Canis lupus familiaris: one gene and its partners. The protein of the gene in region 1 interacts with the protein of each later gene in a pairwise test. Links are inferred from orthologs where the notes say so. Each region holds a gene or a part of one and is shown in the gene's direction. Other genes may lie near its edges. The genes, in order: RBM17, U2SURP, SF1, SAT1, QRICH1, DHX15 and PPP1R12C.

Region 1 (3,898 bases):
AGAGATTAAGTGTTCACCACACACCCAAGGAAAGTACAGGGTGGCGTAGCTCAGCCACCTTCAGGCTTCTCTGCTCTGGATCAGCTTGTTCAAGTGGAATTTGTAAGGAAATTAATGACATGTAGGAAACCGTGTAGGTGCGCTGTTACTTAAAACAGGGTTTTGTGATTCAAGCTTGAAATAGCAGTAGTTGCTGCTGGACTCCCTGGAGACCCTTGAGGCGCCTCCAGGGGCAGTTTGAACGCTCAGTACTAAGAGCTGTGGGCAGGTTCCAGCTTCACTTTACCATAAGCACCTCTGAAGGAATCTCTAAATTGGGGGTCTTGCTTTGCTCAGAGTCAGCCTTAAGCTGGTCAACTAATCTGGGCCTCAGTATCTTCCATTTTCTCATCTGGTAAATGGATGCGCTCTAAGAGTTCTTTTGTTTATAAGGACTGTCATCAAGAACTCTACTATTTAGAAAAATGTAGTTGTCTTCATTGTGTGAAAATCATGCTTGTTTTTTGACGGGCACACTTGGAAGTAAACCGTGGTCATAAATTGTATAGCAGTGCAGTCTCTGGAGCACACAAGACGTCTGGTGTTTTCTAACAGTGATACTGGGAGAATTTGGGGAGAATATGGGCATTTTCCTTACCTCAGAGATAATCTCAGGATGTCCAGGATTTCAGCATTAGCTTTTTCCATTTTTTTTTTTTCATCCTGAGTATCCCCACAACCTCCAACGATTGGCCCGTTGGTAATTATGTGTGACCACATCGAAACCCATGTGGGATTTAGACTTTTTCGAGGGTGATTGCTATGATATAAAATTGGTTTATGCCATAGCTGGTGATTTCAAGGCCAGGAAATCCTTCTCTTTTCCTTCCTCCCAGTGGCACAGTAGCACATAAAATCATGCAGAAGTACGGCTTCCGGGAAGGCCAGGGTCTTGGGAAGCACGAACAAGGGCTGAGCACAGCACTGTCAGTGGAGAAGACAAGCAAGCGAGGAGGCAAGATCATTGTGGGTGATGCCACAGAGAAAGGTGGGTCTGCTCCACGAGCAGGGCTTCTGGGGTGGGAGCACGGGGAACGTGGTCCAGCATGAGAGGACCACCCCTCTCTGGAGTAGACCAAGAATATGCGATTATGATGTATTCCAGTTCTGTGTTGTGGAAACAGAGGCTCGGGAGGCTCATTGGAACAGATCTAGAGATAGGAAGGTTCATGGGGGAAAAGACGATAGACTCGCAGAAATAACACTCAGAGAAGTGTTTTCATGCCTATTTGTACTATGCAAAGACCTTGTTAAACTGGTAAAATCAGAGTTATGGTTTTAGAGCATGGAAGAGCCCTGTGCATTGTGTCCGTGATGGTACTGGTGTATTTCCATCCTCTATGAGTTTTTTACTTTTTGCTTTTTCCTACCCTTTCAAGTGTGATTTCTCATTTTCTTACAGATTGATTGCTCTGTGAAGTCTGGTGTTATTTCACAGTCTGGTGGTAGATGATGCCTACTTGGTGTTTTATTTTCATCTTATTATTATGTTCTGTTCTGTGCCCAGGGCATATTGAAATGAGTCAAACGTGTAGCTTCACATTTTAAAAAGAATTGAGTTTATTTTGAGTATCTTAGTTTAGCTCCCTTTCTTAAGGAAAGAAGAAAACTTTGCTGGCAGCCCTGTCAACACATGGCCTGATGAAGCAGCTGGTTGGCCTGACAGGCTAGAAGCCAAAATCAGCCATCGCCCTGATTTGTAGGGTATATGAAGTTAGTCTGCCAGTGGCTGGCTAATTCACTGCTTATTATATTGGACTGGTGACCTTTGGCCACACTGCATGTGCCAATACTCTGACCTGTAAGGTTTGTGGTCTGTGCTCTGTCAACTGTGTGAACTAAGGAAGTGACCCTAAGCAAAAATCCCAGGTAATTAGAGAAGCTGAAAACTTGTAGAAATTATGGTAAAAACCTATACTGAAGCAGAGCAGATATTTTCATCATGGATAAGGCGACATTTTTGCTCAGAGACTGATTGCATAAATGCTTATAGATGAATCTAAGGACATAAATAGTGGGTACAAGTACTCTTGAAATTAAATTAGTCATTGTAACTTGGACTCCGTGTTCTAACACGCCTACGTCTTAAATGTTTTGCTACAGATGCATCCAAGAAGTCAGATTCAAATCCATTAACTGAAATACTTAAGTGTCCTACCAAAGTGGTCCTCCTAAGGGTAAGAAGCAGAATTGAAGAAACCCGTTTTCCTACCTTGATTTTTGCTTGTCACTCCACCTTGATCCATCTTTGCATGCTTTCAACCCTATTGATACAATAACAGTTAAAACTGAAAATAATTTTTCTGCAAATGATTGTTCTGGATAGATGCCATCTGAGGTTGATATCTTAGGTTCCCTTTTCACTAATGTTTCTTTGCTAAATGCAGTATTCAAGACTGCAATGAGTAATTGCTTTAAAATATTTGAAGTCGTTAGTTCAGTTTAGTTTATCTATTTTAGTTTATCTAGCATAGATGCTCTTGTGACTCTATGAAATTTAGTGTATGTGTGTGTGTTTAGTGTTTCTCAAAAGATTTGCTTATTTCACCTATTAATTTTACAACAAAATGTGTTCACTTTTGCCTTGAGCGGTAAGTAAGCCATGTTTAACTTGGGCGCCTGTCCATGTAGGATACTCTTTCAACTCAAAGTGGAACATCAACTCAAAAAATTATTTTTCAGTTAAATGAGTAAAGGGAATAAGAGTGTACCTCTGTACGGCGTTACGTACTGTGAGCTCATAATTTGCTTTAATTCAACGTGTTAAAAACCATAAATATTTTTTTTGTTAAGAAATACCAACTTTTGGATACTACAAGAATGAAAATTCTCATTGTGTCATTTGGGATTGAGAACATTTGCCATCGTGAAACAAAGTTATTTATTCATCTTTATTTGTAAATTACACTTGAACTTATTCATTTTTGTTCATAGAACATGGTTGGTGCAGGAGAGGTAGATGAAGACTTGGAAGCAGAAACCAAGGAAGAGTGTGAAAAATACGGCAAAGTTGGAAAATGTGTGATATTTGAAGTAAGAGGGCTTTCTTTTGATTTTTGTAACCCAAGTTGTAACTGACAGGTTACCAGACATTTTCTGCAAATAGAGACAAGTTGTACCGTGAGTAACATCGTCGAAGGTCACAGATGATGCTTAGATACACTTCGTTTACATAGTTATAACAATTTTAAACATAAAGACAGGAAGGACTTCACATTTTATTTGGTGAAGAAATTAATTATTTCCTTTTATGATTGAGGTTTAGTTTGATGACTAAAGACTACTGTCATGTGCTCAATAGTTGAGTTAGTTGGACGTACCTTTGGTTTCTTTCATTTGGCAACCGTAAATTTAGTGCCTCCCACATGCTTTTGGAAGACAGGAAACATGTCTGTGCTCTCAGTGGTATGTTCAATTGAAGAAACAACAAAAAAGCACATGTAAAAATAGGGAATGTTCAGTTGCTAGACTCTGTAGTATTCACTATAAATACAGGAGTCAAGAAAAGGATTTGATCACAAAAAATAGAGCAAGCTTTGTGAACAGTATCAGATTTGGGTGAGCTTAGAATGTATGGGTAGGATTTGGATAGGAGGAATAGGTATCCTGACAGGGTCACAGCTTCTGGGAGACTAAGGGGGCTGCAGAGTGGAATGTTTGGGAGTGCTGCGAATGAACGGAGTGGGGGTGCTTACCTGGGAATGAATGGGGGACATGCTCACCATGGGGCCATGTTATACCAGACTTGGAGAGCGTGACAGAGGAACTTAAGCAAATGTGAGAAGCAATTAGAGCACAGATCTTTTCATCTTAAATTTCTGCTCCCACTGCTGCTTCTCTTCTATATCACGTTCTGTTT
Region 2 (3,898 bases), on another chromosome or scaffold:
AATTTTCTCATCTCCCATGACTGACATTGTACCCCTTGTACAGTAACTCTATATCCTGGGTCTTCCAGCCTCTGGTAGCCACCATTCTACTTTGTCTCTTTGAATTTATTTACTCTAGTTAACTCATATAAGTGGAATCATTCAGTCCTTGTACTTTGAGACTCACTTCATTAAGCAGATCTTCAAGATTTGTCCATGTCGAAGCATGTATCAGAATTTCTTTACCTTTTAAAGCTGAATCTAGTCCATTGCATGTATTTACCACGTTTTTTATCCTCAGGTGTGCACTTAAAAAATACTTTTAACTTATTTTTTGGAATTAAAAATATTTCCAAGAATAAAGTTCTAAAAGTGTGTGATGATTTTTGCAATGGGTTGAGAAGGTAGTTTTAGTAATTAGACTGGATGTACTTGGGTCAGTTTTCCATCTGATTTTAATTTAGGTTAATTAAATAACATTGGTTTTAGCAGTCTCTGGGAGGAAAATACTACTCTTTATGTTTTCCAGTGAAAGAGTTCTTCATAGTAGAACAATAGAGCTTTATAGAAAATTGCTTATCTTCTGATAGGTATGGTATCTAAGACATTTATTTAACACTCCTAAGTCTTCTAAAACCCGCTCCTTTTGAAATTTCTGTTTTGGGAAAATCCATTGCCATATATAATACCTGACATAAGTGTTCAATAAAATTGGTTGTAAGACTCAGTAAGATGCATACATACCTTCTGAGAACTAATGTTCATCACAAAGGCAGTCTGGGGGCTAGGGTGAAGAAGGGAATAGATGGCAGAAGGCAGTGGGTGAGGATTTCTTTTAGGGATCTTTGCTTTTGGTTTTATTTAAAATGAAATAGGCAAATAATATTTCTCATTTGTTTACATTTAATTGAAGACATTTCTTTGTTAAAGTGTATGATGTTTAATTTTTTGTTTGTTTTGTTTTAGATTCTTATTTGAAAACCAGACACCAGCCCATGTTTACTATAGGTGGAAGCTTTATTCTATTCTGCAGGTAAGTGGAATCAAAACTTTGTTAACTTTAGCTCTGAGATATTTTGCCTTTCTAATAACATTCTGGACATTTATTAGGGAGATTCTCCAACTAAGTGGCGGACAGAAGATTTTCGTATGTTCAAAAATGGGTCTTTCTGGAGGCCACCACCATTAAATCCATACCTGCATGGGATGTCAGAAGAGCAAGAAACAGAAGCTTTTGTAGAGGAGCCCAGTAAAAAGGGAGCACTTAAGGAAGAGTAAGAATTTTTTCTTTTCCTGTTACATATTCAGAAAAGTTGCTTTAATAATCGCTTTAATTAATGGTCTTACTGAGATGTTAGCCCTAAAATAAAATGTTTTTTCTTTTACTTGTGTGAATGATTAAAATATTAACATTTCTCATCATGTGCTATGTAATTTGAAATGTCCTGGCAAGTATAAGTGTGTGTCCTTTTGACCTTTTTCTCTCCTTTTGATAAAAAACCTTCTAAACCTCTCATCGGTTGGTGGTGATCTCTTAGCAATGATTCTCTAGCAGTGAAGTATTTGTGATTCTTACAGAAATTATCTTGGGACCTTTAGAATTCTTGGCTCTCTGAATGCAACATTAAAGAAGAAAAAATTACTGTAGAGCTTTGTGAAGTCTGATGGTTGGTTATGCAGTCTTTCCACAAGAGTTTGCAGTGTGTGGCCACCATGAAAACATATTTGTTAGTCTTCAGTTCAGTCAGCATGGGTACAGTGAAGTTAGTCTGGTTTAAGAAGCAGAAACAAGTACTATTAAGTATTAAGAGGAAGTTCTGTATGCTTCATGGGAAAAAATCGGCTAAAAGATTGTGGCGTATGCTCTGAATACTAGCTGCATTGATGCATTGTTTGTAAAAGCATTTGCTAATGCAGAGCTATATGTATTTGAAACATATTTGCTTCTGAAGAGGTATTTTCATCATTACTTTTGCCCAGGGATCTGCAAACTCATCCTGTATGTTAAATCTGGCTGTCTCATGTTTTTGTAAACAGACTTATTGGAGCACAATCATGATCCCCCCTACCCCCTTTATATGTTGTCTATGGCTTTTTTCATGTTAATAGCAGTGGAATCAGGTAACTACAAGAGAGACTATATGACCTGTAAAGCCTAAAATATATACTGTATGATCCTTTACCAAGTTTGCCAGCACCTGCTTTAGCCTGTTCTATTTCAGAAGTGCTAAAGTAACTGACTTCAAAAGAGAGTGAAGAACATGGAGGCCTTTTTTTTTCCCCCCACTGTAATGGGGTAATAGGACTGGGACACTCTCAAACATTCTTGAAACAAATGCCCATAATTTAAAATTTACTTTATTTGTAAACTAAAAATCACTGGAATCCTTTATTCACAAAGGAAATATTCTTTCCCCATGAGCTCTTCAAAGAAATGTATTCTATTTGGGGGATTTAAATCAGACTTAACACAATTTAGTCTTCAGAATTTTATCCAACTGGGCTTTAAAGAAATTAGTTTGTGAGCAGAAACTATAATGGAATTTGAAATTTATATCTGTAAATATTTATAAGCTAAAAACATTTGTATTCAGACAGAGGGACAAATTAGAAGAAATCCTACGGGGGTTAACTCCAAGGAAAAATGATATTGGAGATGCAATGGTTTTCTGTCTTAATAATGCTGAAGCTGCTGAAGAAATAGTGGATTGCATTACTGAGTCATTGTCCATCTTAAAGACACCCCTCCCCAAAAAGGTATGGAAGTGATTTCTCTTTATGGAACATTTAATTAAGTAAAAGAGAGATAATAGTTGATTTCTTTTTGGATTGAAATTGGTGGTTTTTTTTTCTGTTTGTTTGTTTTGTTTTTGCATGAAGAACTTGACTGAAGAGATCTTTCCCATGTAGTCTTATTTTCCTCCTCTCTGGGGAAACTTGTTATGTTAATTCTATATACAGGTTATCAACAGGTTGAAATGTAAAGAAGTTACATATTTTATCCCTGCCAAAGTAGTGGCTTTGGTAATGTTGAGTTTCTTATAACTTTTCTAATTAGCTGTTTTTACTGTAGCTAAACATTAGCCTTACACCACTGATTGCAAAAAAATTTCAGTATTGAATTTTTTCTAGATACATTATTTGCTGCTGGTTTTTATTTTTAATCTCTTTTATGTTATCTTTTGGTATTCTAGATTGCCAGATTATATTTGGTTTCTGATGTTTTGTATAACTCTTCAGCCAAAGTTGCCAATGCTTCATATTATAGAAAATTGTAAGTATAATGGTGTAAGCTGATATTCCTGAAATAAAACATTAAGGGTAAGGAATTAAAAAAAAGAGGACTGTTCTGTTAGTTAATAGTCTCAGTAATAAATAATTTGAATTTTTTCTTAGTTTATAGAATTTTCTAAAAAATTTGCTGCATTCATTAAACCACTTTAATGTATAGAAAGTTTTCATATCAGTTTCTTGATAAATTATACTAGAACAAATAAGAGTTAAAAAATAACTATTTTTATCGAACATTTAGCCACTTGTGTAGTAAATAAACGGAAACAATAGAAATAGTGGCAGGCATAAAGGAAGAGACCAAAGACAGAACATGAACTGTTTGTAAAGCTATGTTCTCTTTTGATCATCATTGTATTGGTGTAGTTCACTGTGATTGTTTTCCGAGGCAGTAGGAAATTATGTTGCTCTCTTGTAATTAATATATACTTCCTCCTCAGAGTTCCTTTTTGGTGTTTATGAATCAGGGAGACTTTTCTCCAGAAGTCGATGCTGAAATGACATTTGGAGATATGAGTCTTAATCTTAGCTCTGTTATTAGGTTTTTTTTTTTTTTTTTTTCTTTTTCCCTTGGACAAGTTACTTTTCCTATATTATAAAACAAAGAGGTCAGTTTAGGTAGCAGAAA
Region 3 (4,624 bases), on another chromosome or scaffold:
CTTTGCATATTAGCCCTTTATCATGTGTGGCAAGTATATCTTCCTAATGTTTTATTATCTGTTGGCTTTTATCCTACAGTTCTAATTTCTTTAGTGATCAAGTATATATTTACTAGTCTGAGTTTCTTGTTTTCCTTAAGTCTCCACCTCTAGATAACCCTGTTGGTCTCCTATATTGTTATTTTAGGTCTGTTTTATTGTTTAAGATCCTATACCATTTGTTAGCTGAATCTTTACTGAATCTACACATGGGGAATCTATTTCTGGTCTATTCTGTCGCGCTCATCTGTCTTTCCTTCAACAAATCACATTGTTTCATTACAGTGTCTTGCACACTATTCCGAAAAGCGAGTTCCTCCTCAACCTCGTTTACAGGTTTCCCCACTATTCTCATAATTATATGACTTTAAGATGATGTAATCAACCCCCAACCTAGTTGATTCTATGGAAATACAATGTATTTGCAAATTAATTTTGTTTTTTTTTTTGTTTTGGTTTTTTTTTTGTTGTGCAAATTAATTTTGAAATCGAATTATTATTGTTTTCTGCCTAAGATGATGTGTTCTTCCATAGGCTCAGTATCGCTTTGATCCTTCAAATAGACTATTTTATAGTTGTTTTTTTTGTTTTGTTTTTTGTTTTTTTTTAAGAAAACAGGAAGTCCCTTTTTACCTGCGGCGCGTCAACGGTTCCGGTTTACGGTCGCGCGCCAGCCCCTCCCCCGTCCCTCGGTTCCGGGTTACTATGGGAATCGAGACTTAACGTCACTAAGGGCTTCCGCGCCGGACCAAGGAGTCGACCATGAAGCGAAGGTCGGAGAGGCAGCCTTGCCCCATCTACGCATGCGCTCTCCTCTCCACTCCTCCCCGGCCGTAAATCTCGTTCTGCCGGGTACCGCCGCGACCTCTCGCTTAATCCCAGAGAAACTGCTCCCCGGGGGAGGAGTAGAAAAAGAACCGGACAAGCGACAGCCAATCCCATGACACTACGACGCAACCGAGCATTGACCCAATCAACTTCAACCAATGAGAAAGACCCTGCCCCCTACGTCACAGAGCTTGCCCCGCCCCATTCCCCTCCTTTCTGGACTCCGAGCTCAGTTCGCGCAGTAACAAATGAAGTGCGCGCTGCGACACCTCCCAGCTCGCCAGGCTCGGCCGCCATTTCTTCCCCCCGGCCTAACGGTCCGGCCAATCCCAGCGTGCATCGAGAGGGGCTAAGGCTCCGCCAATCGGAGGCCGCCGATTCCGACCCCTTGCCTGGGCTCGGCCCAATCCAGGACTCGGACCCGTCGCCCCCGGACCGCCCCCGCGGCGCCCTCTCTCCTCCCTCTTTGTGCGTCTCGCGCCGCCGCCGCCGCCGCCCGCCGCGTGAGAGGACGGGCTCCGCGCGCTCCGCGGCAGCGCAGTCGGGTCCCCTCCCCCCGGAAGGTTCGCGAAGAAGCCGCCGCCGCCACCACCGCCTAAAAGGAGCCGCCGGTGCCGGTCCCCGGGGGCGCCATGGCGACCGGAGCGAACGCCACGCCGCTGGGTAAGCTGGGCCCCCCCGGCCTCCCCCCCGTTTCCGGGCCCAAAGGGGGCTTCGAGCCGGGGCCACCGCCTGCTCCCGGGCCTGGGGCGGGGCTGCTGGTGCCCGGGCAGCCGCCGCCCCCGCCCGTGGGCTCGGTGGGAGCCCTGACCGCGGCCTTCCCCTTCGCGGCGCTGCCGCCGCCGCCACCGCCGCCGCCCCCGCCTCCCCAGCAGCCGCCGCCGCCGCCGCCCTCCCCGGGCTCCTCGTACCCGCCGCCGCAGCCTCCCCCTCCGCCGCCGCTCTACCAGCGCGTGTCGCCGCCGCAGCCGCCGCCACCCCATCAGGACCAGCAGCCGGGCCCGGCCGGCGGCGGAGGAGGTGAGTCGGGCCGAGAGAGCGCGAGAGGCGTCGCGCGGACGGGCCCGGCCGCCTGAGGGGCGCGCGGCGGCGGCGACGGCGGCTGCACGCGGCAGGGGCGCGCGCGCGCACGGGGAGGCCCCGGGCGGAGGCGCCAAGGGGCGCGCGGCCCGGTTCTCGGGCCCCGAGTGCGCACGCGCACTGGAAGGGGTGGGGGGGTGGAGCGCGGAGGGTGTTGTGCGCAGGCGCAGTATGGCTGCCGGGCTTTGTGGCCCGATAATAAATGGAAATGGGGTGGGGGGGCTCTGTGTTGCTCTCTACAGCTTGGTACAGGAGAGGGGTGTCGAGCGGGTTGAATTGGTGGACGGGTTGAGGGATGTGCGTGTCGGGAGGGCGTGAAAGGGTCAATTGATGACGTGGAGCACCTTTCTGATTCTAGAGAAGTCCAAAAGGTAGGAAAGCGAGAGTAATTTATCTCTCTGTGCGAAGTTTTTACTGCAGTGAAAGGAAGAGCTCGAAAAATCCTCAGTGGTGTGGTTGGAGCCGGTGCACTTTTGGAGGAAGGAATATTTTCCTAATCTCCATTCGTTTATCTTAGAGAAGTCTGATATGTCTCCCCTTAGTTGTTGGGGCTTTCCAAGTAGAACTGATTTGTGTGTACCAGATGTGTAGAAAGTTTACGCTTCTGTTTTGGAGGAGGAGTATTTGGCTGCTGTTGGATAGCTTGTATTTTGTTGAACTTTTGATACCTCATTTAGGAGTTCTGATGTTAAGTGTCTAAATTAGCCAGGAAAACTGAATGCTTATCTTGACTAAACTTCTGAAGAAAAAAGTGAGCTTTTTGAAGAATTGGGCTTTTTCACTTAGTAAATTGTAAGTTTGGTTGTGTTCTGGTCCCTTTAGAAAGGTGGCTGGTGGGGTTTGGAGGTGGGAAGAACCAACAGTTTTCTCAGCATACTTTACCACATCTGATTATTCGGTATATTTTGTCTCCCCTGGGGTTTTTAAAACATTTGTGGTTGATGTTGCATATCTGAAACTGTAGGGATTAAGATTTGTTAGCTTGTTTACATACTTCACGTTTTTTTGACATATGTTATAAATATGAAATATGTTTTTGGACCCAGAGCCAGGTATCTTTGTGGCGGCTGTGTGTCTCTGATTTCTTGGGTATGTCTTCCATTTTTTGCCATTTACGTTTTAGGTCAAGTTCTCAGTTTCCCAGTCTGCCGAGGTTGTGTGTAGTATTATAAGTATCGTGAACTGCCTGTTGGTAGTTAGTTTGTTGGTTTATATTTGTATTTGATGGGTTTTCTCTGCCTTTAGACTTCCCAAGTAAGAAGCGGAAGAGGAGCCGCTGGAACCAAGATACAATGGAACAGAAGACAGTGATTCCAGGAATGCCTACAGTCATCCCCCCTGGACTTACTCGGGAACAAGAAAGAGCTTATATAGGTAAATACACGTTCTGCACCCAAATATGTTTTCGGATTGTTATGACTTATTCTGAGCAGCGTTTTATGTGTCCTAAATTTGAGACTTTAAAGTCTTGTTCTTTTGAGATGAGGTATGGTCAGGTGTACTTTTATGACTTCGACATAATCCATCAGTTTTTGCTCTGTAAGTCCTGCATTTGAAGCTCCTGGTTTCGGTCTGTTCGTAACAGCAGTGTTCTCCATGAGTGCCAGGAAGGTAGAGGGACCCATTTAGGAGTGAGGGTAGTCCCCAGTCCAGTACCCCACCCTACACTTTTCAGCTGCTGTTCATTGCCCGTTGGTGAGGTGAGTGTCTTCTGCCTCTCTGGACACGGCCCCAAGTGGAGAACACTGCAGGTATTATAAACTAAGTACCTTTTTCACAGCATGGCCTTTCACCATTTCATATTCTTCCCTCCCCTTCAAATGTGGTCTTTTACTTTTTATAGGTACTTTCTGAAAAACTCAGTTTAATCAAAGAGTGGTCCTGAAAGTGTTGGCAGTATACATCCCTTTTTACGATTTTGTTGAATTTAACCTTTCCTTCAGCATCTTTTCTGGTTTGGTCTTTGGAGAGCTGCCTTAAAACGAAGGCTCTTTTACTATTTATTATCAAAGAATTCTGCTGGGAAAGGGGTACTACTTGGATATGGCATGAGGTGATAGGGTAAAAAAGATCTTAACTGTTGGGAAATTTCAAGACAATAATTATAGTAATTGTCCACAATGTAAATGAAGTTAACCTCAAAATTACCTTTTTTTAAATACAAGGTTTTTAATGCGAGTTTCACCTTTATTCATGTATCTCCAGCTGTCTCCAAAAAGTTCACTTGATAAGCATTTCCTACTAACCAAATAAACATCCCCTTTGGAGTAAATTAGGGCAAAGGCCGCCTAGGCCTGGGAGGCTGTAGCCTTTACAGATAAAAAGCTTCAAGGCTGGCATGTGTTATTCTTGAGGATCATAATCTCTTACATTTTTTAATTGCTGAGAGTTTTGAGGTGTTGGAATTGTTTGTTTTTACAGTACTAATATTTCTTCTTTCCCCACTGTTCCAATTTACTCCTATCCACCTCCTTGTCTCATTAGATTGGCCTGGGTCTTTACAACCTTTTGGAAATGTCCCTAGTGGAATGGCATCCTAAGAACACAAGCAGACTTAGAAAATGGGGGAAAAAAACTTACTCTCTACATCTCCAATTATCTTCCTGTGCAGGGAGTTAATGCACTGAGCCCTACAGGCTGTTTAGAGCTATAATCAAAAGTGGATAGAGCCAAAACA
Region 4 (4,678 bases), on another chromosome or scaffold:
GAAATAAATTTTAACAAAACAATCATTATTCTGAAAAAACTATGCAACCCAAACTGAAAACAGCCTTGCTATTGCTTCAACAAGGCAGCTATCACTAGTGCTTAGTTATGGAGGGTCTAATTTACGTTATCAGTAATCACACAGGTAACATGCTCTCATAGTTCCTCCCACAAGTTAGATCCAAACAGAGTAGAGAGAAGGGAGTATGAATGGTCATCCATGTATCATGGTGTCAGGAAAGACACAACCTAACGTGGCTTAGGTAGATGCAAATCAATGCTATTTTTAAAGATCTTTGAGAAAGACATTTCATAAACTCCCAGATGACTCACCATGCATAACATCTCCAGAGGGTGGGAAGGGCAACAAAGAGCCTACTTTTGCTTTCTTTTTTACATACAGGATATTGCTAACAAATGCAGAGAAACAATTGTTGAATGTTTGTGGTCATCTGGTGATAGTCCACCTCTCATTCCACACTGAGAAACCTGTGAGCCCCTTTTATGCTTTGGCTCCTCCTGGAATCCAGGCAGAGTGGCCAAAGCAAGCCCCCAGGGCCTCTGTCTGGGAAGGTGGGTTGTAAAACAAAAACTGTATCTGCAAGAGGCCAGAACACTTGTTCCAGTGGGAACAACTGAAAAAGAGCTATACTCTAATTCAACCGTTCTGAAACATTTTGTTCTCAGGACATTTAAAAATTACTGAAGAATCCAAAAAGCGTATCTTTGAAAATTCTATGAAACATAAGAATACACAAGCACACATCCCTTTAGTCACCAGAGCAATGTCATCACACATTCTGTAAATCTGTGATCATTTGAAAATGAAAAGTTAAAGAAAAGGGGGGGAAAGCAGCACAGAGAATGGAGCAAGTAGGGATTACATCAACTTTCAACAGCGATGGAAGCCAGAAGGTAACCTGACATCACCACTACACTGAAAGAAAATAACATCCAACCCCAAACTCTATAAACAGTGAAAGAAATCCTTCAAGATGAATTGAAGACATATTTAGACAACCAACGCAGAAAGTTTTTCTGTACTGAAGGAAATTGTGAAAAGTGCCCGTCAGGCAGGAGAGCGTTTCCACAAGGAAGGTCAGAGATTTAACAAAGAATAAGAAGGAAAGAAAATTAGGAAAGAACGCTGTGCTAACTCTAAAAATTACAAGTATGAGAGAAAAATTATTGAGGAATCCAAATAGTTTACCTTAGGAAACTGTAGAAAACACAAGAATATACAAGCACGCATTACGTTAGTCATCAGAGCAGTGACTTCACACACACACATCAGGTCGCCTCTGGAAAATTCCCACAAGAATGAAAAGGGGCAGTGACGCCTCACTATTATTATGAAACTCGTTTTGACACAGACTCCCTGAAAGGACCCTGGGATCTGCAGGGTCCCCCACAGCACACTTTAGAGAACCGCTGCTCTCATCCTCACGTTGCCCAAGGCAGGTTCTCCTGAGTTCCACTCCCCTCCGGCCAAGGGAGAAACGGCAAGGTCACCGGCCCGGGTTCACAAGAGGAACTACTCTTTTCCTTTCGCAAAGGTGACCGGGTGACGCACAAGCTAGAAAGTCGGGTTTCCGGGAAGGCGTCGAGAGGCGCCGCGAGAGGGCGCCCCGAGAGAAGCCCGCGGCGCGCCTCGCCCCTCCCGCGCCCCCGCCCGCGCCCCCGCCCGCGCCCGCGCCTGCGCCCGCCGGGTTCACACGGAAGCCCGGAAGAGGGGGAGGCGCCCGGAAGAGGGGGGCGGTCGCGGCCTCATTGGACGAGCTGCCTCCGCCTCACGCCCGGAGGCGGGGCTACTTGGCCCTAAAAAGCGGGACCCGGCGGCCGCTAAAGCGCGCCGTTCTGGTCGCAGTCTGGCCGACGTGCTCGTTGCTCGCCGAGGTCCGCCGGGTCATGGTGCCAGCCTGACTGGGAAGAGGACGCTCCGGGGAGACGAATGAGGAACCACCTCCTACTACTGTTCAAGTACAGGGGCCTGGTCCGCAAAGGGAAGAAAAGCAAAAGACGAAAATGGCTAAATTCGTGATCCGCCCGGCCACCGCCGCCGACTGCAGTGACATCCTGCGGCTGATCAAGGTAGCGGGAGGCCCGGGCCGCCCCTGGGGAGGGGGAAAGTGGGGAGCCGCTCCGGCGGGTTCCCCTTTGTCCGCCCGCTCCCCCCAGCTTCAGCCGGGCCGCTCGATTCTGGGAACGAATCGCCGCCCCGCCCACCCCGTTCCCTCTGAGCTGCCTGGGCCAGGGCCTCACTTAGTTTTCTCCCTCTCTCCCTTTCTCCCGTGTGCATCGCCCCAGGAACTGGCTAAATACGAATACATGGAAGAGCAAGTAATGTTAACTGAAAAAGGTAACGCGACTGTACCAGGGCGGGGGAAGGGTGTCTGGTACTTGGCATCTTCACCGAGGCCATCACTGTCCCCGATGCCCCTTCTTGCAGATCTACTAGAGGATGGTTTCGGAGAGCACCCTTTCTACCACTGCCTGGTTGCAGAAGTGCCCAAGGAGCACCAGTCTCCGGAAGGTAACGCCGCCCCCCCCCCCCCCCCCCCCCCCCCCCCGCTTCCAGAAGCCAAACACCAAGTGTTGTATAAAACATAGAGTGTCTGTTGTGTAGAACCACTGACAACGCAGGCCAAAGTTACTGAGAAATTGGCCAGAAATAATAGCCAGTGTTCAAACTACTGAGGAAAAAGAAAATAGATGTCCTGCACATAATAATAGGGCGGGTTGAAAGAGCTGTTTAAGTAAGTATCAGAATGCTGTGGAGACCTGGAAGGGTTAGGTATAATGTCATTTATTGTAATTCAGTTCTTGTTTGACCCTAACGTAACCTTTTTTGTAATTGTGTTAAATCACATTTTTTTCTTTAATTTGTCCCAATCTTCAGGTTACAGTCTCTAGCTTCGCCATGTACATGGCCCTTCCGTGTACATGGATGGGCGGGGAGGTAACTAAAAGATCCTTTACACAATAAAGTAGATGATCATGATAAATGAGGTAAGGTCCTATTATCACACACTTAAAACACGGTAGATCAGAAACTCCAGTGTACTCTCTTCCTGTGTTTGCAAAGGACTATAAAATGGCTAGAAAGTTTAATTTGAAACCTTTGCCTCCATTTGAAATTATAGACACCCTATTTTTATAGGGAGTCAGATTGTTTTATTTTTTTTTTTTTTGCTGGTCCCTGTTGACTGGTCAGAAGACAGAGCTAAAAGGGGAAGTTGTTTGGGTGGGTGCTTCACTTTTTTCTTAAGTCTCTTCCCCAAGCTAGAAGAAATGAACGGAAAACATAAGGGATGAGGTACTTTTTGGAGGTATGTGGATGTTACATAAGAGCTATTTCTGGGTACCTCTGCTTCTTCTGGCTTAAAACTGGGGAGAGCAAATTGAAAATCTGAATTGGAAGGCAAGTTCTGAAATTAAACGTTACACTTTTGATGGCCTGATGTCCTGACCTTAAGGAAGCAGAGTTTCTAATCTACAAATATTTACTATTCTGAACTGCCGTGTAAACCCGACTTATTCCCAAGTCAACATACCAATATATCAATAGGATGTGAATAATGTGTGTGTTTAGTTTAAGACTACAGCAGTTTTGCTCTGGCAAGTAATGAAAGTCTCACTTCCTGGGGTGTGAGATCCAGCAGATCGCAGAGTGGCCAGTCCCATGATTTTAGCCTCGCTTCAGCTAGCTCTAATGTGTGCTTTTTGCAAATACATGTCCTGAGAACAGTGAGATCATCCAAAAGTGGCCTGGACTGCACTAGCATAAAAATCAGGAGACAGTCCCGTTTCAGTGCCTACTTACTTCTATAATACATGCATGTTTATTTTCTAAAACCTATGATAGGCTTCTGATTTTGCAGCTACAACTTTTATGGGTTGCTTTTCGTTCACATCTCATGTGATATTCTTATTACAGGACACAGTGTTGTGGGTTTTGCCATGTACTACTTTACCTATGATCCATGGATTGGCAAACTGTTGTATCTTGAGGACTTCTTCGTAATGAGTGATTATAGAGGTATGGCTGAGTTTAGGAGGAGATGCCCTAAAGAGAAACCAGGACTTAACATCCTGAAGATGACTTTTTAAATGGTACTTCTCTTTCTTTTAGGCTTTGGCATAGGATCAGAAATTCTGAAGAACCTAAGCCAGGTACGTCTTGGTTTGGGGGGAGGGGCAGGGGGTTTGGTTTCCAGATTTGTAAGGGTTACTGAATTATTTTAATGACTGGAACAGATTTGGGTCTTGGAAAGCAGGTGAAATGTCACTGAGTTTGTTTTACTCTCCCTTATAATAGGTTGCGATGAAATGTCGCTGCAGCAGCATGCACTTCTTGGTAGCAGAATGGAATGAACCATCTATCAACTTCTACAAAAGAAGAGGTGCTTCTGACCTGTCCAGCGAAGAGGGATGGAGACTCTTCAAGATCGACAAGGAGTACTTGCTAAAAATGGCAGCAGAGGAGTAAGGCGTGTGCCGGTGCAGACGATGACAGCTTCCATTCTATTTTAGATTAAGTTCTCAACTGATCTTGCTTTCTATCCTGTTTGTAGTCAAATAATAGAATGAACACCCATTCCAAAGCTTTATTACCAGTGGCGTTGTTGCATGTTTGAAATGCGGTCTGTTGAAGATGGCAATCTTGTATGCAGTTTGGA
Region 5 (3,898 bases), on another chromosome or scaffold:
GGGCCAAAGGCAGGCGCTAAACCGCTGAGCCACCCAGGGATCCCCAGAGGGAGAGAATCTTAAGCAGACTCCCCACTGAGTGCAGAGCCTGACAAAGAACTTGATCCCATGACCCCGAGATCATGATCTGAGCTGAAATCAAGAGTCCAAAGCCCGAGCCAAGTGAGCCACCTAGGTGTCCCAACAATTAAGCAGTTATTTAATCTACTCTCAGAGTTGTGCAACCTTACATCAGTTTTAGAACATTGTCATTACTCTAAAAAAGAAACACTATGCCCATTAACAGTTACTTTACATTTTCCCCAGTCCTCTGCTCTTAGACAACCACAAGTCTACTTTTTATTTCTTTAGAAGTCCTGTTTTGGACATTCACATAAATGGACATGCAATATTTAGTCTTTGTGACTGACTTCCTTAGCATAACGTTTTTCAAGTTTCATCTAGGTTGTAGCATATATCAAAATGTCATTTTTGGGATCCCTGGGTGGCGCAGCGGTTTGGCGCCTGCCTTTGGCCCAGGGCGCGATCCTGGAGACCCGGGATCGAATCCCACATCGGGCTCCCGGTGCATGGAGCCTGCTTCTCCCTCTGCCTGTGTCTCTGCCTCTCTCTCTCTATCTGTGACTATCATAAATAAATTTTAAAAAAAAATTAAAAAAAAAAAATGTCATTTTCATTGCTAAATAATACTCTGTTCTATGGAAATGGTACATTTTATTTATCAATTTATCAATTGATGAACATTTTGGTTGTTGCTACTTTTTAGCTATTATGAATAATGCTACTATAAACATTTTTTGTGGGCATAGTTTTCATTCCTCTTGGGTATATACCTAAGAGTGGAATTGGTGGGTCATGTGGGTTGTTTTTCATAAGTTTGTCATATGGTATGTTTAACCTTTTGATGAACTGCTAGACTTTCAAAGCAGCTACACTCCTACCAGCGATATGAGGATTCTAATTTCTTCACATTCCTGTCAACACTTGTTACTATCTTTTTTTTTTTTGTAGCTGTCTTACTGGCTTTCAAGTGGCATCTTACTGTGGTTCTGATTTACATTCCCATGACAACTAATGATGTTGAGCAGCTTTTCATGTGCTTATTTGCCATTTGCCGACCTCTATTCAGATTCTCCCTCATTTTTTTTGTGTATGATATGAAGAAGTATAACTTTATTGATTTTATATAGATAACCAGTTATCTCAGCACATGCTTGGTTACTTATGTGATGTGTCTCCTGTTATTACATAATCTCTCATCTGCCTTCTTTTTACCTTCCTACTTCGTACCAGTATTTAGAGTTTAGATATGTGTGTCTGAAGGAAAAAAATCTTTTTTTTTTTTTTTTTTTTTTTTTTTTCAGATTACAGGCAACACATGGCATCCTTTCATGATGCTTTGTATGCCAAGGTAACAATAATAAGAAATGAGCTGCATTATTGTTAGAAATGTGTGTGGTTCAGGATATAGTAACCTTCCTTAGATTAAATTATCAGGAATCTTTGTGGGGTTTTTTTATGGGCTTCTTTATTAAAACAAAGCTATTAAGTAGCTGCATTTTAGTAGCAGTGTTGGGAGATCTCTCCAAAAGGGATTTCAAGAGTTTTGTTTCTACTGTTTTTCACTGATCTGTGGTAGGAGTAGTTTTGATTCTGGGTTGAGAATTGCATGCCTTGAAATGTACTTACCTTAACAGAACATTCGTCCCCACACTTTTTATCACTCAGCCTATGGATAAACAATTTTTTAAACATACACCAAAATATATTTTTGTAAATTATATACATATATACCAAGGTGCAAAAATAAAGGGTGTCACATTTTAAAACAAAAGTTAAAAATAAGCAGAAGTTCTGATATTTTCATAGATCCCAGTTGATAGTCCTGCTTGCTCTGGTAGATACTTGTTGCTTCGAATGCCGTGTGATGCTGGAGGATTTTGCGTATGATTTTGGGGGTTGTGGTCTCCTCAGAAGCCTTGGGTATAGCAACCCCTCCTCCTCACATCACCTAGGGCTTCTGCCTGAGATCTCTTCCTTTTGGGGATGAATCCTTAATGTTGCCTGGTTCACTCACTGCTGAATCTTGTTGCCACAGGTACAGGTGCAGGTACAGCAGTCTCCACAGCAGGTCTCGGCTCAGCAGCTCTCCCCACAGCTCACCGTTCACCAGCCTGCTGAGCAGCCCATCCAGGTCCAGGTGCAGATCCAAGGCCAAGCACCACAGCCGGCAACCCCTTCCATCCAGACTCCGTCTCTGCAGAGCCCCAGCCCCTCGCAGCTGCAGGCAGCGCAGATCCAGGTGCAGCATGTGCAGGCAGCCCAGCAGATCCAGGCTGCAGAGATTCCAGAAGAGCACATCCCACACCAGCAGATCCAGGCTCAGCTGGTGGCTGGCCAGTCTCTTGCCGGGGGTCAGCAGATCCAAATCCAGACCGTGGGTGCCCTTTCCCCACCACCGTCTCAGCAGGGCTCACCCCGGGAAGGAGAACGGCGGGTTGGCACAGCCAGTGTCCTCCAGCCAGTGAAGAAGCGCAAAGTGGACATGCCCATCACTGTGTCCTATGCCATCTCAGGGCAGCCAGTGGCTACTGTGCTGGCCATTCCACAGGGCCAGCAGCAGAGTTACGTGTCTTTGAGGCCAGACTTACTGACAGTAGACAGTGCCCACTTGTACAGTGCCACTGGGACCATTACTAGCCCTACAGGAGAAACCTGGACCATCCCTGTTTACTCTGCCCAGCCCCGTGGGGATCCTCAGCAGCAGAGCATTACCCACATTGCCATTCCCCAGGAAGCCTACAATGCAGTTCACGTCAGTGGCTCACCCACGGCCCTGGCAGCTGTAAAGCTGGAGGATGACAAGGAGAAGATGGTGGGCACCACGTCTGTAGTGAAAAACTCCCATGAAGAGGTAGTGCAGACCCTTGCAAACTCTCTCTTTCCAGCACAGTTCATGAATGGCAACATCCACATTCCAGTGGCTGTGCAGGCTGTGGCAGGCACCTACCAGAACACAGCTCAGACTGTCCATATATGGGACCCCCAGCAACAGCCACAACAACAAACCCCCCAGGAACAGACGCCGCCGCCGCCACCGCCACAGCAGCAGCAGCAGCAGCTCCAGGTTACTTGTTCAGTAAGTGAGACTTATCTAAAGGGCAGCCTGCTTCCCCAGGGCCCTGTGCAACACAGAACTTTCCTGGCAACCTCTGGCTTGTTTACTGCAATGATGTTGGTCTTGCAGTGATATAATATTTAATAGTTTAGTTGGGGTCGAGGAGGGGGAATAGAAGCAGCAGTTGAAAGCTATACAATAGGCAGGAGTTCTGTCCTAGTACCTGGAGATAGATACCTTGGATCCTTTTTTTTTTTTTTTTTTCTTTTAAGATTTTATTTATTAATTCATGAGAGAGACAGAGAGAGGCAGAGATACAGGCAGAGAGAGAAACAGGCTCCATGCAGAAAGCCTGATGTGGGACTGGATTCTGGAACTCCAGGATCATTCCGGAACTCCAGCTGAAGGCAGATCCTCCTTTTTAAAGAGGATGAAAGAAAGGTGAAATTCGTTTTTTAAAATCACATTAAATCACAATATTTTTATTTTATTTTTTTAGATTTTATTTATTCATGAGAGATAGAGGGAAAGAGGCAAAGACATAGGGAGAGGGAGAAGGAGGCTCCACGCAGGGAGCCCGATGTGGGACTCAATCCCAGGACTCCAGGATCGTGCCCTGGGGCTGAAGGCAGGCGCTCAACTGCTGAGCCACCCAGGCATCCCAGGTCCTTCTTTTTTTAAGAAGAGTAAAGTTCTAGGGAAAAATTAATGGGACACACTGAGTGTTGTCTGATTTTAATAACTTACTTTCTGCATCACAAATGAATGGATCTTGTGGAA
Region 6 (3,898 bases), on another chromosome or scaffold:
TTGGGTTCTTTTTCCCTTTGATTTCCTTTCTCTTTGTATCAGATGGGATGAAAGGTTTCAATCCTAGCTTGTGTGTCCTGTGATTCTGTAGGGGGTGAACACTTGGATGGGAGAGAGGAGGATTACTTTTTATATATGTATCTTATATTTGTATGAAAAGTATGAATATGTGGATATATGAAAGTATATATATGAAATGTGTATGTATGTGTATATATGGAATAACTTTAAATTCCTGTGGAATACAGTTATATTTTAGCGAGGACAAAAGAAAATAAGATTGATCTGCTTAACATTTCTGTATTTGGGGAGCCATCCTAACTCCTGCTGTCTCTAGAATTTTAGCTGTATTCTGTCAAGGGGTTTCTGTTGTCCTGCTGATGTGCTTTTATAGGGAATGAATGGTTTTTCCTACTCAGCTACTGATAATTGGTGCATGGGAAGTTTGTATGCCTTTTGTGTCTTATGGATAAGGAATATTGAGGTGTTCAGTGGCTTGTCTCATAGCTCTATATTGCCTCAACTATTTCAAGTCTGGGTCCAAATACCTTGTAGAAGTTTGCTATAGGAATTGGTCTGAAGCTTATTTAAAAATTATTATTGTATTAGGAATCATGCCTGCTAACTGGAAGTAGATACTAGAACTGAGTACTTAAAGTTGACCTAGGCTTAGTATAGTGACCGTCTGCATAATTTTAGCATTTTAAGACAACTTACTATTGTTCAGTGGAGCTTGTTTTTTTAGTGGTTATATTTCACTTGATAGATGTCCAAAGTATACATAGGTTTACAGAGTTTTGCAGTTACTATTAAGGATATCATGCAAGAGGAAACAATGAAAACAAAAGGAAGTGTTTTAATTTTAGTTTTTTTTTTTTAATAGGACAAATACATGCTTATAAAACAAAATTGGGAAACTGATTTAAGGCATAACTTGAAAATGAACTCACCTACAATCCTTTAACTCATGTTTGTATTACTGTTATGTGAAGTAGAATGGTCCTTGTGTCCAGAAGCAGTTTTGAATTTTGAACATACTTTCAGTGCAAAAAATAACTTTTCATGTAACTTGAGGGAGAATCTGGGGAAAATTGTGATGCCCATATCCCCCTCTTGCTTTATTTTCTCCTCCTTTTCCCCCACCTTACTCTCAGTCTTTAATTTCTACTGTCTAAATAAGTAGGAAGGGGTTTTACTTTACTCAGTCAAGTCCGAGTCTTGTGTAACAACAGCTGGTGGCTAAAGGTGTAGAAAGAGATGGTCCCTTAAGAGAATTTGAGGTCTCATCAAGGAAAGAAAAAGATTTATGGGTGAGGCATGGAGAATTCTTGATTATAAGGTCTTTTTCATTATGTCTGATACTTACATAATTCATTGGTTTATTCATTTGGTGGTTAGACATTCTTGTTCTTTGTGACTATAACACTGCCAAGAACATTTTGCGTAAAATTCAGAATCTGAATTCTAAATTTTTATTTTTAGGAAGGATCGAGATCGTGACCGGGATCGTGAAGATCGGTCTAAAGATCGAGACCGAGAACGTGATAGAGGAGATAGAGAGCGGGAAAGGGAGAAAGAAAAGGAGAAGGAATTGCGAGCTTCGACTAATGCTATGCTTATCAGTGCTGGATTACCACCTTTAAAAGCTTCCCATTCAGCTCACTCAACTCATTCTGCACATTCAACACATTCGACACATTCTGCTCATTCAACACACACAGGACATGCAGGACACACATCACTTCCACAGTGCATTAATCCATTTACCAACTTACCCCATACTCCTCGATACTATGATATTCTAAAGAAACGGCTTCAGCTCCCTGTTTGGGAATACAAGGATAGGTTTACAGATATTCTGGTTAGGCATCAGTCCTTTGTACTGGTTGGTGAGACTGGGTCTGGTAAAACAACACAGGTGAGTTATTATTGTGTACCACAGTACATACCGTATTAATGTTTACATTTACTAAATGTTGCTTATTTGATTGGAAGTCCTTCTGCCTTGTCTGTCTCCTAGAACATCCTGAAGACTAGCTACTTTGATGTTTGTAGTGCACAGAGTGGGAATCCTGTAGGGAGTGCCTATTTTCCTGAGTCTAGGGGAATATAGCAGTGCTGTTTTGTTAATGTTAAATATGGCAGAATGATGCATTCTGATCACTTTGACTCTGGGGTGGTACAAATTTGGAGGTACAAGTATTCTATTGCTCTGAGTAGAAATTTGGAACCACTGGGATAGTTTTGTTTTTGTTCTTGTTTGTTTTGAACCATGTGAAAATTATCCTTTTTTTTAAAAAGATGGAAGAGCTGAGTAAAGTCTCTTTATTCATGACCTCCACATCCATCTAGTTACACTTGGCCTAGAAGTAAACACTATCTTGTTAGTAATATATCTAGGATATTTTCCAAAAATGGATGAGCCATTGTTTACTGGTCCCATGTTATCGATCTCTAGGCTGCTTCTGATGGTTGTTTTTCATGAGCAAGTAGATCCATTAGACTATACTGTGGAATTAGAATATTTACGAATCTGATATGTGAAAAGTAGTATCAGCATAATTTTTAATTTGCATTTCCTGCTATGAGTGAGGTGTTAACCATATTTCCCATATGTTTGAGCCTGACCAGTCACAAATTTCTAAGAGATTGCAAAAGTAGCAGTCCTTGGCCATTGTAGAAAATTTGGAAAATCTGGAAAGTGTCGAAATGAATTTAATAACTTGTCTTACCATGTAGAAATTATGACTGTACTGTGTTTCTTCCTGGCTTATTTTCCATGTTTATGTACCTGTGACCCAAGTTTATAATGGAATGTACTGCATACGCAAGTTACCATTTAAGTTTCATATGCCACAAACCTAGATTGGAGTATATCATGGAGACATTTTGAAGGCTACAGTGGCAACCAGAATAAGAAGTTTTGAAAGACTGAGCCTTACTGAATACGATTTTTCTTCATAACTGAACGAAAATCTAGTATTGATGTTAGGAACTGAAACTGATAGGTTTATTTTTATCACCTTATGGAAGTTTAATGTGTGAAAAGATACGACTTTAAACTTATTTTAAAGAATTATTTAGTATTTAAAAGAATTATTTCAACTAGTTTATCTACATAGTATTTAATTAGCTATTGGATAAAGCTAGGCACTGTGTCCCTTGTATGTATTATTTGTGTCAACAACCTTACAAGGAAGTTGTTAATCACCATTTCACAGATGAACAAAATGAGCCTTAGATTCATAAGAGTCTTAGAGGTTTTAGTGGGTTGTCCGTGGTTATGCATAGTAGATTTAGGTGGGCTCAGTATTAAGAACTTTGTCCCATTGGCTATTGTTTATAGCCAATGCTATATTTATTTCATTCTGCTATTCTGTGGTCTTATGTGGTTAACCTTATTTCAGAGATGAGTTTCTTTAGTAGCAGTTAATGCAGATGGTCAAGTCAATTCAAAATGAGAGGTTTGTAATTATTTGGATGAATATTTGTGGTATTTTTTGTTTGTTTTTGTGTACCTAGGATTGCAGAGCAGTTGGGTTCAAAGGGAAGCTGAACAGCTTTATTTTATTTATTTATTAAAGATTTTATTTGTTTACTCATGAGAGAGGCAAAAACACAGGCAGAGGGAGAAGCAGGCTCCATGCAGGGAGCCCGATGTGGGACTTGATCCCACATTGCAATATGGTATGTTCATGCTATATCCATATATAAGAAACTAAAGCCAGTTGAGTGTGAACGGGGGCACAGGTTTGGTGAAGAGAAAGCTCTGTATGCTCTGTATATGGACGACAGACTTTGTAGGAGATCATAGCAAAATTTGACTCTGTATAAGGTAATAGAATAAACAGTAGATTGTGGAGTTACTAATCTTAGGGGACGTGGGAGGGATTAATAA
Region 7 (4,482 bases), on another chromosome or scaffold:
GACCTACTAACTGCCTTTCAAGCTTCCTGGCAAAGGAGGTGGGGTTCACGTCCCACGCGTGGGAAGCGTGGGGTTCAGAGACTACATATCCCAAGAACTACCGGGACTGCCATTCCCTTTATAGCTATGGCCAGCTTTCCCCAGGCCTCATGGGATTTGTAGTTTATTTCTTTCTACAGGCCCCCGCTACTTCGGAGTGGGTGGGCTCCTCCAACATCCCTTAAGAAAAAAGGCTGTTGCCGCTGTCCAGATTTCAGCGCCTTTTTGTGCGATTTTTACGGGTCTTGGATCCGACCTCAAAGTGCCTCTATCTCTCCTAGCCAGGATTTAGGCGCAGGACACTTAAAGTGAGGATTTTTTTTTTTTTTTTTTTTTTTTTTTTTTTTTTTAAAGTGAGGATTATTTCGTGTTTTAAAGTGCTACGTGGAGCCCCTCACCCAGGACTACAATTCCCAGCATGGCTTGCGAGCATGTAGAGCCTAGACTACATTTTCCAGCGTGCTCCGCGTCGCAGGAGGCCCTCGGAAGAAAGGCGGATGAATGAAGGTTCTGGGGGCGCTGTCCTTGTGGACCCCGCCCCTTGGGCCCCTTGACTGGATGTGATCCAGGGGTCACCATGAGGGACTTTGGACTTCTCCTGTCCTTGGGCCTGGCTTTTTGGGGGGCTTGGGATTCTGCCTAGGACGTACTGTGTTTCCAGGGGCGTGGCCCTGAGAACTACATTTCCCGGCGTGCGCTGGCGCTGTGGGCCGATGGCCATGACCTCTGACTGCCCACTCTATCTCCCAGCATGACCTGGGTGGCCACTCCGGAAAGCTGGGATTTGGGATTGCCCTGAAGGGTCTCCGGGTTGCGGGGCGCCCTGGTGTTTCCCTTGACCTCGGGAATCCATTAATTACTTCGTGCAGAAATTAACTTCGGTCTCGCAATTTTAAGCTCCATTCTGGGTCCTGGGGATAAGGGGCGCTCAGAGAAGACAAACGTCCTTGCCCTCCGGCCGCTTATTTCTAGCTAAAGGGAGCTGACCAAAGAGCCCACAATTAATGAATTATGTGGGAAAATGAGCGTTATGTCCTTCCCGGCTCCCGGCCCCGTGGAACGTAGCAGTGCATTTCCCAGGGCGCCCCCGCCCCCACTCTCACTCCCACCCCCACCCCAACCGTCCACCGGTCGCCTGGAGCGGCGGACTTCCCGGTGCGCCTCGGGGCGGAGCGAGGCAGGGAGGTTGCCATTAGCAACTTCCGCTTGCGGACTCCATTTCCCAGCGCACCCCGGGGAGGCGTGCTGACGTCGGCGCTCCGGGCGGGGGCAGACTGATCCTCCGGCGGCGCGGGGCCAGCGGCAGTTCCCAGCGGCCCCGGGCGGGCGGCGGCGGCGGCGGCGGCTCCTCCTCGGGGCTCGGCGTACGCTCGCTCGCTCGCTCTCCCGGCGGGCGGGCGGCGCGATGTCGGGCGAGGACGGCCCGGGGGCGGGACCGGGGGCCGCGGCGGCCGCGGCTCGCGAGCGGCGGCAGGAGCAGCTGCGGCAATGGGGGGCTCGTGGGGGCGCCGAGCCAGGCCCCGGGGAGCGGCGCGTCCGCACCGTGCGCTTCGAGCGCGCCGCCGAGTTTCTGGCGGCCTGCGCGGGCGGCGACCTGGACGAGGCGCGCCTCATGCTGCGCGCGGCGGACCCCAGCCCCGGCACCGAGCTCGACCCCGCCGCCCCGCCGCCCGCCCGCGCAGTGCTCGACTCCACCAACGCCGACGGCATCAGCGCCCTGCACCAGGTCAGCGCCCCGGCCCCTTCCGGGACCTGGTCCGCCCTGGGTCCGAGGCTCCTCGAGCATCCTCCCAGCCTGAGTCACGGTCGCCAGGCCTGGTCTGCGCCCCGCTCTCCGCTCCCGCCCACCTCGAGCTCCCCGCTTGCAGCCTTGAGCCTCCTCCTCAGCCGGCCCTGGTCTCTGCCACCCTGCGCCGCCCTCTCCCTGGACCCGAGCCACTGCTGACAGCTTCAGTCTGGTGCATGCCTCTGGTCTTGGTGGTGGTCACTTGGCGCCGCCTCCTCCCGACCCTGAGCGCGCCTTACCAGCCTCGTCGGTGTCCCGTCTACTGTGGCACCTCTTAGAGCGATAGTACTTAAATCCCCTGTACCCCGCTGTTCCCCTTTCCAGCCGGGTACCACCCTCACTGCGCAGCAACCTCCTCTCTGGCGCCTAAGGAGCTTCCTCCCCTAGTCCCCGGCCTGTGCTACATCTTTGGCTAGGCCCAGATCTTCCATGGTGCTGCTGCACAATGCGTCCTCCTCGCCATTCCTTCTCACCCTTGGGCAGTGCCATCTGTTGCTGTGTGAGGATGCTCTTGCTTGAGCCACTTTCTTCTAGGTCTGGATCACCTCATCCTATGTCCACCCAGATACTGGCTGCGTTCTCTTTCTGGAGGCTGTGCCACCTCTGGTCTCTCACAGTAGGCCTTGTGTCAGGGATGTGTCTTCCAGGCACCTCCTCGTCTCTTGCCCCTTCCCCTTGTCTAGGCCTGTATTCTTGCCCTTTTTTGAGGGAACCTCAAAGCACCCGATGCTCTATTCTGGGTCATCTTGCTTTCTCCTGTGCATTTGGGCAGCTTCTCCTGTAGACTCTGTGGTCTCTCTGGCTCTTGTCATACCACCTCCACGAGGGGTTCTAGAACCCTGCTGGTTCTCTCCTCCACAGCATGGCCCCTATGCCTTTCCAAGACTCCCTGATTGTTGCCTCCAGTGTTTCTGTGTCCCAAAACGAGGGCCACCTTACGCCCCAGGACTCTCTCTGGTTCTGGATGCATTTTTCTGCTCCCCCCCACAGTGGGAGCATCAGGGACAGGACTGGCCACAGGAGAGCCCCCACCCCCTGTCTCATCCCTGAGACCATGCCCTTCCTGGATGAGTCCTCAGCCCTCTCCTGCCTGCCAGAATCCGTGGGGTTTGGTAATTGATGGAGCCAGAGAAGACCCTGGGAAGGAAAGGCTGGTGGGGGAGGCAGGGATGTTTGAGGAGGCCCACTTCTCAGGTCCCCACGAAGTGAGGAGTAGTTGAGAGAAAGCAGAATTGTCTAAGTCCTAAGTTCTAGTTTCAGTTCCTCAGCCTTGTGGTTACAAAAGTTACTGTCCGTTCTGTGCCTCAGTGTCACCTGTGCAGCAGGACTAGCGGGCAGCCCTTCTTGGCAGGGCTCTGGTGAAGGAGGGAGGTGGCCTGTATGGAAATCCCTTCAGAAGCAGCAGAGGCATTCCTCTGGGGAGTTGTGCCACCTGGTCTGAGTGCCACCCCTCCCCTCTTTCTCCTTTCCAACTCCTAGGCCTGTCCCACCCAGAGTCTTTAGTGCTGTCTGGGAAATTGTCTTCCACCCAGAGGAGGGTCCTGCTTCTTTGAGGCCTTGTAGAGTACTTGCAAGCCCAAGAGAGGGGCCTGAGGCTCCTATACCCCCTTCCTCTTCCACCATCCACACCTTAGCTCCGCTCGACTTTCCCTTGGGCACTCTTGGTCCTGTTCTTCAGGCTGAGCCCTCCTCTGTCACCCTCCTGGGCCTAGATCCTTGCAAAAGGCAAGTCTGACCTGGCCTGTCAGGCTGCCCTTTCAGGTGCAATCTTTCCCCTTCTCCAGGCAAGCAGTTGGTAAACTCACTTTGCAGGTGGCCTGAACGGTTAGGGCTTTGGGGGTTCAGAAAGGGGAAGTTCTTGCCTCAGGTCACATGGCCAGCAACCGGGCGAGCTGGGGTTGGGTCAGATCTGCTGTGGGGTGACCAACTAATGCTGGTTTGCATGAGACTGGCCTGGTTTTAGCAGTGAAAGTCCCAGACAACCTGGGACAGTTGGCTGCCTCGTCTGGGTGAGTCCTGGGGCTGTGGTTTCCTTTCTGAATTCTCCCTGGAGTGGGTCCCCAGGCATCAGCCCCCTGCTCTGGTCGTGTGCCCAGAGTTCTCAGATCCCAGTGCCTGCTTCAGATGGGTCCGTTAACCACTTGATAAAGCCAGTTTCCTCTCCCCTTTCCCCAAAATTGCCTAATGGTTAGGTCTGGTCTGGAATAGAAGGGATCGGGAGCCACGGTTCTCAGGTCTGAATAGGGAGGATGGAAGCTGGGACTCCTGGGTCTGGGTTGGGGAGGGTCTTGGAGTCTTGGGTCTTGGGGAGAGGGGCTTGGACTCCTGGGTTTGGGGGCAGGGAGGCTTTTGGACTTCTGGTTCTGGGTGGTGGGGAGGAGCTTGGGCTCCTGGGTCTGGGGAGAGGGTGGTGGCTGTCGTCTGGGTTCTTGAATCCCTGGTGCCCAGGCCTTGGGCATCTTTCACATGGATTCCTGTGCCTAGCCAGGTCCTTGAAAGGGAAAGGCCCATCTCTCTCCTCGACACCCCCCCATCACCATGACAACCGGGTGGAAATAAACGAAGCCGAGTTCATCCCGTTCCCAGGGCACGTGTGGCCCCCCTTTCACGGCCTGAGTTTCCATGACTTCATGCTCTTGGCCCTCATGGCCTCCTCC

What was found.
Region 2: the proteins of RBM17 (region 1) and U2SURP interact in binary tests that used the Homo sapiens proteins (3 or more experiments, as listed by UniProt). The link is inferred for Canis lupus familiaris from reciprocal best matches to the Homo sapiens genes RBM17 and U2SURP.
Region 3: the proteins of RBM17 (region 1) and SF1 interact in binary tests that used the Homo sapiens proteins (3 or more experiments, as listed by UniProt). The link is inferred for Canis lupus familiaris from reciprocal best matches to the Homo sapiens genes RBM17 and SF1.
Region 4: the proteins of RBM17 (region 1) and SAT1 interact in binary tests that used the Homo sapiens proteins (3 or more experiments, as listed by UniProt). The two-hybrid records come from large-scale screens. The link is inferred for Canis lupus familiaris from reciprocal best matches to the Homo sapiens genes RBM17 and SAT1.
Region 5: the proteins of RBM17 (region 1) and QRICH1 interact in binary tests that used the Homo sapiens proteins (3 or more experiments, as listed by UniProt). The two-hybrid records come from large-scale screens. The link is inferred for Canis lupus familiaris from reciprocal best matches to the Homo sapiens genes RBM17 and QRICH1.
Region 6: the proteins of RBM17 (region 1) and DHX15 interact in binary tests that used the Homo sapiens proteins (3 or more experiments, as listed by UniProt). The link is inferred for Canis lupus familiaris from reciprocal best matches to the Homo sapiens genes RBM17 and DHX15.
Region 7: the proteins of RBM17 (region 1) and PPP1R12C interact in binary tests that used the Homo sapiens proteins (3 or more experiments, as listed by UniProt). The two-hybrid records come from large-scale screens. The link is inferred for Canis lupus familiaris from reciprocal best matches to the Homo sapiens genes RBM17 and PPP1R12C.

The regions. Positions count from the first base shown.
Region 1 is NC_049223.1:28,863,960-28,867,857, reverse strand, and holds part of RBM17 (splicing factor 45), read left to right. Parts: intron 1-875; coding exon 876-1,027; intron 1,028-2,142; coding exon 2,143-2,216; intron 2,217-2,973; coding exon 2,974-3,072; intron 3,073-3,898. UniProt on the Homo sapiens protein: Splice factor that binds to the single-stranded 3'AG at the exon/intron border and promotes its utilization in the second catalytic step. Involved in the regulation of alternative splicing and the utilization of cryptic splice sites.
Region 2 is NC_049244.1:39,158,273-39,162,170, forward strand, and holds part of U2SURP (U2 snRNP-associated SURP motif-containing protein), read left to right. Parts: intron 1-945; coding exon 946-1,012; intron 1,013-1,089; coding exon 1,090-1,253; intron 1,254-2,573; coding exon 2,574-2,736; intron 2,737-3,173; coding exon 3,174-3,253; intron 3,254-3,898.
Region 3 is NC_049239.1:52,884,913-52,889,536, forward strand, and holds the start of SF1 (splicing factor 1), read left to right. Parts: upstream 1-1,499; coding exon 1,500-1,887; intron 1,888-3,192; coding exon 3,193-3,321; intron 3,322-4,624. UniProt on the Homo sapiens protein: Necessary for the ATP-dependent first step of spliceosome assembly. Binds to the intron branch point sequence (BPS) 5'-UACUAAC-3' of the pre-mRNA. May act as transcription repressor.
Region 4 is NC_049260.1:19,542,936-19,547,613, forward strand, and holds the start of SAT1 (diamine acetyltransferase 1), read left to right. Parts: upstream 1-1,829; 5' UTR 1,830-2,024; coding exon 2,025-2,090; intron 2,091-2,306; coding exon 2,307-2,358; intron 2,359-2,448; coding exon 2,449-2,532; intron 2,533-3,936; coding exon 3,937-4,038; intron 4,039-4,131; coding exon 4,132-4,172; intron 4,173-4,317; coding exon 4,318-4,488; 3' UTR 4,489-4,678. UniProt on the Homo sapiens protein: Enzyme which catalyzes the acetylation of polyamines. Substrate specificity: norspermidine = spermidine >> spermine > N(1)-acetylspermine. This highly regulated enzyme allows a fine attenuation of the intracellular concentration of polyamines.
Region 5 is NC_049241.1:40,521,235-40,525,132, forward strand, and holds part of QRICH1 (glutamine-rich protein 1), read left to right. Parts: intron 1-2,098; coding exon 2,099-3,139; intron 3,140-3,898. UniProt on the Homo sapiens protein: Transcriptional regulator that acts as a mediator of the integrated stress response (ISR) through transcriptional control of protein homeostasis under conditions of ER stress.
Region 6 is NC_049224.1:86,154,700-86,158,597, forward strand, and holds part of DHX15 (pre-mRNA-splicing factor ATP-dependent RNA helicase DHX15), read left to right. Parts: intron 1-1,482; coding exon 1,483-1,918; intron 1,919-3,898.
Region 7 is NC_049222.1:103,259,912-103,264,393, forward strand, and holds the start of PPP1R12C (protein phosphatase 1 regulatory subunit 12C), read left to right. Parts: upstream 1-1,444; coding exon 1,445-1,765; intron 1,766-4,482. UniProt on the Homo sapiens protein: Regulates myosin phosphatase activity.